Cricetulus griseus: one gene and its partner. The protein of the gene in region 1 interacts with the protein of each later gene in a pairwise test. Links are inferred from orthologs where the notes say so. Each region holds a gene or a part of one and is shown on either strand. Other genes may lie near its edges.

Region 1 (3,569 bases):
AGGAAGAAACAATCCGCTTTGGACTGGAAGTGCTCTGCATAGACAGCTGGGCTCGCCACCGCATCTACACAGCCTTCAAGGATGTGTTGGGCTCAGGCATGCACTATCACCTCCAGGTGAGGGGGACTTACCCGGAGGTCTACCCAGCTTAACTGCTTCAGACTGCCCTTAGCTAATTGTCTTATCTTCAGAACAACGAGCTTCTCCGTGACATCTTTGGCCTGGGCCCTGTGCTGGTGCTGGATGCCGCTACCCTGAAGGCCTGCAAGATCTCACGTTTTGAAAAGGTTTGCATCTTGGGCACCTTTATCTTGCATCCTGTAACCTGGAGGCCTCGAGCTGTGAGTGGGCTCCGGGAGGAGCCTGAGCTTTCCAGTTCACCAGGCTCCCTGGTTTGCCTCTTCCACAGCACCTGTACAATGCTGCCGCCTTCAAAGCTCGGACCAAGGCCCGGAGTCGTGCGAGGGACAAGCGGGCAGATGTCTTGTGAAGCTGACTGGCCAATGAGAAGGCTACTCATACCCTTACCATATTTTTAACAGAAGACAGTGCAAGAACTGGTCCCCGCCAGCAATTGTCACTTTATTTTTTTTTTTTAATGATGAAACCAAAAATAGACAAATGTGGGAGGGCCATGGGATCAGGACACTTAAGACTCTGGCCCTTTGTGTCTGCACTCAGCCCTGTGGCTATGGCCTCTGTCCTGTCTCAGGTGAAACCAAATGCGAGCTGGTCCCAGAGCTGAGGGGCAGGTGAGAAAGGACTACCCCTTTTCTTTTTTAGATCTTGCCCCCTAGGGCCACTTCCTTTGGGGGGTCTGGCACCTGTCCACCATGGTATAGGGTAGGCAAAGCTGCCTAGAATGGATGTGTGCTGATTTTTAAAAATAAGAGAGAATTAAACAGTACTTATTCCCCATGACTTTTATCCTGAGTCTTTTACTTGCCTTCCCTCTCATCTACCACCCTCGGCTTGGCCCCAGCTAGATCTCAATTTCACCTTTGTTCTCCAAGGCAGTCTTTGCCAGTGTGGTCCCCCACCCCCAACTCAGCCTAGCTTGTTTGAGGGCTGAGACTGGACCCCCCACTAGGAGACCTGGCAGAGTGGGTGGCTGAGCAGGAACAGCTATTTCTAGACTTCTGAATCTCCTATCTGGGGGTGGCCAGAGGGTGCTGACAGGCCATAGGAGGAGCCACGAGGAGGCTGGTGCCCCATCCTCTGACCTTTGGCTATCCAAAGCAGGGCCTTGGCACCAGAGGGCTTGGTCAGGCCTAGCCTGAAGAGGTCAAGAGAGACAGGCAGCTGTTGAGTCACATCAGGCTCTTGTACAAAAATCTCACCAAGGAAGTAGTGTAGGTGTAGCCGTCGACGGGAGAACAGAGACTGCCAAAGGTCCCTTTATCCCCTCACACGCCTCACACGGCATCTCAGCTGGGTGCCCGAGCTTCAGTGGAGTTGAGTCTCCTTAGCTGGCTGAGGCTAGCCAGGCGCAATTTGAGCAGAGTCTCCTCTTGTGTGCGCAGTGTGTGTGCCAAGACCCTCAGGGATTCACTCTGCAGCACTGGGGATGGGAAGACATTTGTGGGACCTTGTTAGACTGCATGCCATTTCGGATCTCCAGCCAGCCCAGCACCAAGGGTTAACCGCCCAGTGACCCGGGCCCCACCCTTTATTGCTGCATTTGCAGGTGCCCTAGGTTCCCTTCCTGTCCCTACCACTTAGGTAGACAGCCAGGATGGCTAGTGCCAGGCAGGTGAATACCAGCAGTGCCAATAGCAGTAGAAACCCCCCACGACCACACATGGGGCTGCAGCCAGCTTGGGTGCACAGTGATGGCGGCAGGACACCCAGAAGCTCTTCCCATGTCTGTGCCTCTTCAGCCAGATAGGGCTGTAGCGAACCTGCAGGGAGGGTGGTTCGTCAGGAAGGTGGTACCCACAGCATCCTTCCCCACATCCTTTGCACCCTTACCTCCGCTGTGAAGCTCACTGATGGATTCCACTCGGTGCAGATGCACCTCCTGCACATGGTTAGGAGCCAGTGTTCCCCTGCTTCTCTGGTTCTGCATTGGCAACACGGTGTCTATAGGGGCAGTGGGACTGATTTGAGCAAACAAGTCACTCCTTACCTTGTGGGTAGGTAAGCCCAGGCTGCAGGAAGGAACTTGGGATATATGGGAACTACACCAGTGGCATTTGGTTACAAATTCCTTACAGTTTCAGGAATGACTCTTCGTTTGGATCCAGAGTTCTAAAGGCCTAGTCTGTGTGCATAGGGGCTCTTGACATGCTCCCATGTTCACATTCAGGCATTCCTCCGCCTGCTTATTGCTAGCAAACAGTTCATCAACCTAAGCCCACAGCAATAGTGAGTTTGCCACCTGGCCTGACCTTACAACATGGTGCCTACTGCTAGGCAAAGGCAACTGCATTCTGGCAGTTCCTCCTGGCTTGGTTCTGCCTTCCTACACACAATTATTCAGCCGCTCTTACTGGAGCCCTGCTGTTTTCACTCAACAGCACCGCAGGAGTCTCTTTTTTTCTTAACAGTTTCATATAACTTTGAGGACTCCTTCCGGCCTCCCTCTGAGGCTATCTGGGCATTTAGGTTGTTTCCAATTCCCTTTGGAAATTAACCCCCAGGACATCAATCATTAAATGTGAAGGTTTTTCCACTTTGCTGGAAGTTATTGAGGACAATTCTCAGAAGTGGAATCACTGGGCCTGAGAACAGACTTTAAATCTATCATCAGAACTGTCTTCTAAAAGGCCTGTTCGGAGCCCAGCAGTACAGCATCCCCACCATTAGACATCCCACTGTAAAAAAAAAAAATGTATTTGTGTGCACACGGAAGTCAGAGGTCTCAGTGACCTGGCACAGGAACTCAACAGGCTCACTTAACCACAGAGCCCCAGGAACTCAATGTCTCCACCTCACCAGACCTGGGATGAGAAGTGTGTGTACCCCTACTTAACCTGCAGTCCGCCTCCCAAACATAGGGACTAACAGACAGCATCTGATGTTTGCTTGTGAGCATGTCAAGGGCAGCTTCAAGCACATCACGAGCCCCAGAGAAATAAGCTCGGGTCCTTCATGCTTGCAAGGCAAGCTTTTTACAGAGCTAAACCAGACGCTGTATGCACAGACCTTTACATATATTTGCTAGCCTGAGAGACGAGAAACAACTTGATTGTTGCCTAGGGAGCCTGACTAATGTGTGTAATTACCCATTCATGGGTTCTGCCCATTTAGTCACTGATTCTTTATCGTTCCTTATGGTTATCTTTATTTCAGATTTTGTTTTGTTTTGAGATAGTGTCTCACTATGTGACCTTTGCTGGCCTGGAACTCACTGTGTAGCCTAAAACTAGGATGGGCTTAACCTCAAAATTCTCTTGCCTCAGCCTACCCATTAGTGGTATTACATGTGGTTATGTGTTAGCAGTGTGTGTGTAGTGCATACCCACGTGTATTTAGACACTGTGTATATGTGTAGAGAACAGAGGAGGACTTTGGGTGTCCTCTGCCTTTTTCCTTTGACACAGGGTCTCCTCATGAGGCTGGAAATC
Region 2 (4,042 bases), on another chromosome or scaffold:
CTTTAGGGGCATAGTTGGTTGAACTTTTTGGGGAACAGGAATGCTCATTTTGAGACCCAGAAGACTATAATTGGTAACTTTTATCACAAGTGTCACATTTTAAATTAAGCTCGAAGAGATGAAGATGTTCCATCACCTTGTCCTGCAGGTTCAAAACAAAATTTGAACTCAAATTTCCCAATTTGTCTCAAACCCCTATCATTTGCAACAGCACCTGATCCATCTCTTGGTCACTGTTTCCCCCTTGTCTAACTTTCTAATCCTCAAATATTAATCCGTGAGATGGGAACTACAGAGCCTAGGAACTCTACTGCCAGAGGGTGACTGTCTTTAGTTAGAATCTTAGAAAACGACAGCTTCTTGAATATCTGAAACACTGCTTTAGGAATTTCGAATCAGGAGAAAATATTGTCATGTAAACTGTCTATTCTGAGGACATTTTCAAAGATTCCTTGCTATTTCTTTGAAATGTTCCTGGTGGTATTCAGATTCAATTCCCAGGAAACCCAATAAATGCCATCACAGAGTCAAGTCAGCCATTGTTGACTGCTTCAAAATTAATTCTTGAGCCACAGCAATTTGGCGGAGAATCAGTGGTTGGCTGGCCAACCACACAGCACTTCGCTACTTTCAACTCATTTTTACATATCAGGTTCCCAGAAATCTTTGTAAGAAATTACTCAATGATCTGGAAGTTTCCATCTTTGTAAACACCAGTAAAAACACACCATAGGAATAAAAGCCACAAGATGAAAAAAGAAAGAAATACAATTCAATAAATGAGAACACTCTGGGAGGAGACTGAGGTGCCTGGATTTGCAGGAGGATTCTACCACTGCAGAATTAGACCGGCCAGCTGGGATGTTAAGAGGTACTCGTGGACTAAATCAAGGCAAGTCAATTAATGTGAGCAACAGACAAAATGGAGTTAAGACCGAACGTGTTAAAGAAATGCCTCTCAAGGAAGAAACTAGAAAAATAAGGCCCAAAGCCATTTTGGTTGCTCCAACAAAATGAAGAGAATGAAAAACTTCTAGATTGCTCAGCCCTCTAAATCATGCTATCTACCATGTAGCCAATTTTAAGTGCAAAAGACAAAAAACTCATTTCAAATCTCAACATTTCACACAAAAACCTTTCAAAATTGAATTGTCCAAAGTTTAATTCTGAACTTGATCTTCTACACAGAAATTCACAAATCAAACTAGCTTTCAGAGGAGACCTTAAAATAACTGACCTCCTGCATTCATTCATAAGAAACTACAGGAGGCACAGAACTCCAAGAATGAATGTCACCAGGGAAGACAGATCAGTGTGGACTCTGACTTGGAAACAAATCCAAATAATTTTGATGTTTTAAAAACAGCTGTACACTTGAGTGAGACACTAACCTACACTGACTATCTGATAAAGAACCAAGTTGGTTAGGAAGAACTGGTGGCAAGCATCTGGTGTTTGTGTGTAAAATCCGAGACAAGTAAACACCACTTTAAGGCAAAAATAAGCTGATTTGAGAATTCTTCACTTATTTTAAGTCAACCAATGCCTAAAGACAATAAACAAGAAACTGCTATGAATGTACAATCAGAGAAATGTGAGAATCATGAAACTAAGGTCCTAAGGAGACCACCACTGAAGGTTAAGCTGGTCCCGAGAAGGAGCTGACAGATTACAGGGAGAAAAAGACTTCATAATAAGTCTTGAAGTAAACTATGTTTTACTGTGGTAAAAACTCATTAAAACACACACAGAAAATGGGTGATGGTAGTGCACTCCTTTAATCCCAGCACTCGGAAGGGCTAGAGGCAGGGGGATCTCTGTGAGTTCGAGGCCAGCCTGGTCTACATAGTGAAATCCAGGACAACCTCCCTGTCTGGGGGGGGAACACATATACAGGACTGCAAGTAAAGTGCTTGTCTGGAAAGCAGGTCTTGATTTGGATACTCAGAGTCCACAAATCAAACTGGCAGCCTCAGTAGAGGAGAGGTAGAGGTAGGATCCCTGTTTCCAGGAAAAGATGTAAGGACTGTGAGGAATGACACATGTACACAAACATGGGGGACACATAAAACATACACATGCACAGAACTGAAAACGTAGGGAAAGAAATCCTATTGAGAATGGTTCCTAGGACTCTACTTGGAATGAAAGTGACAACACACACCACCATGCTCTGGATTCCAGTGTTCCCCACTGTGCTGTATCTGAGGGTTGAACTGAGTCACAAGCCAGATTTCCCCTGAGGAGTATCAGACCTTCCAGTCTGTTGAGGACACAGAACAGTAATCTGGAAGAAACCCCTTAAGTGACATGCTTCCTAGCCCCACCCTCAGCAGCAAGGAAACAAGTCCATGTACCCAATTGCACAGATGGGAGCACAGGTTATGCACTTAAAACGCTTAAGTCAAGATGCTAGGTAGGGGCAATAAGGCAGAATCTTTGAAGTTGGCTAACATAAGTCCGGTTATGTATAATGCTACATTTCTTCATCTCCATGTCTGAGTACTCAAAGCTTTATCTCCTTTTGTTTCCAATACAGAGAGCTGTCTCATTCCCTGTGGCCTGGCTTGACTCCTTCTGTCAGTCATAAACTGTTTCTTCTATTAAGAAGGAAGCACTTTTAGTGGGAAAAGACCTTTATTGCCAAGAGGAAAGCACACTGCACGTCCTGCTCTTGGCTCTTAGGGACAAAGGTTGGCAGCCTTTCTGGCATAAGCTAATTATAATGAGAATCCCCAAGGGCTTGAATGCAGCGTGGAATAACACCCTTTGATGAGCCCACTGGCACGCATTCCACTTAAACTTAATAGTAGCTTTTCTAAAGGAATGCGTTCCCCAAAACTATGTGTCACATGAAATACCCTGCATGTATGTATCATTATGTCAGTATTTCTGACAAACACAGTGTAAACAAGTTAACATTTGGCTGCTAATTTTTCTTATTATGAAATACCATCTTCTGCTCACTACACAGAATAAGACAGAACATCATAAACACTTTATTTGTGGATTCCAATTATTTTTACAGAGATATTTAATAAACAGAATTCATTAATTTGTAACACTGTACATTAAATTAAAATATAATCCACCCCTACATCAAAAATTATCTAAATTTACCTCAAGATAAAAAACTGTCTCTAAAAGCTTATATACATTAGAAGTAGCAAAAATAATAATAAAGGAAGAAATTAGAAAACAGCCATCAAATGCAGACGTCTAGAAGAATTCTCCAACATCTGCTCTCTTATCTCGGCATTTGCTTCGAGCTTTTGTTCGAGCTTTGAAAGCTGCAGAGTTATATAAATGCTGAAACGAAAAAGAAAAATATATACAGATCAAGAAGGCATAATACTCTTATAAAGAAAGAAACTAGGGGGAAGAGATAAAATCACAAAGGAACCAGACAGGTAACAGGTGTACTTTGTCATAACAAAGTACATTAAAATTCTGTTACATATGTCACCTCAATAAAATCCAAACTATACGTAACAATTTTTGAAATGATAAAAAGGATTCCCAGTAACTATTTCATGCTTTACATGTGCTCCTGTAAAATAAGCCTGGATCTTACCAAGCTATTACAGTACAACAGAAACATGCAAATGTTCCCATAACCAGGCAGAATAAGTGTTTTGGGTCCATTTTTCTTCAAAAGCAAAAGAACTGAAGAGAAACCAGAGTGGCTGTGCATTTACTTCTATTAAAAAACAAAAACAGGGCTGGAGAGATGGCTCAGAGGTTAAGAGCACTGACTGCTGTTCCAAAGGTCCTGAGTTCAATTCCCAGCAACCACATGGTAGCTCTCAACCATCTATAAGATCTGGTGCCCTTTTCTGGCTTGCAGACATACATGCAAGCAAAAAACTGCAAGCATAATAAATAAATCTTTAAAAAAAAAAACAAAATAACAAAAAACCTACCCTTTCAAAACGAGAAATCTTCATGGTCTTAAGTGTTGCAGCATCAAGCATCACAGGGGGCCCAAGCTCAAATACATTGCGAAGGAATTCATTTGTCTAAAATAAATAGAATATACGTG

What was found.
Region 2: the proteins of Lsmem2 (region 1) and Lsmem1 interact in binary tests that used the Homo sapiens proteins (3 or more experiments, as listed by UniProt). The two-hybrid records come from large-scale screens. The link is inferred for Cricetulus griseus from reciprocal best matches to the Homo sapiens genes LSMEM2 and LSMEM1.

What each region holds. Positions count from the first base shown.
Region 1 is NC_048597.1:215,774,629-215,778,197, forward strand, and holds the end of Lsmem2 (leucine-rich single-pass membrane protein 2), read right to left. Parts: 5' UTR 2,069-3,569; coding exon 1,972-2,068; intron 1,902-1,971; coding exon 1,716-1,901; intron 1,562-1,715; coding exon 1,428-1,561; 3' UTR 562-1,427; downstream 1-561. Other genes in the region: Ifrd2 (interferon-related developmental regulator 2), read left to right, coding at 1-116, 192-287, 410-490.
Region 2 is NC_048598.1:161,480,824-161,484,865, reverse strand, and holds the start of Lsmem1 (leucine-rich single-pass membrane protein 1), read right to left. Parts: upstream 2,840-4,042; 5' UTR 1-2,839. Other genes in the region: Ifrd1 (interferon-related developmental regulator 1), read right to left, coding at 3,220-3,309, 3,924-4,019.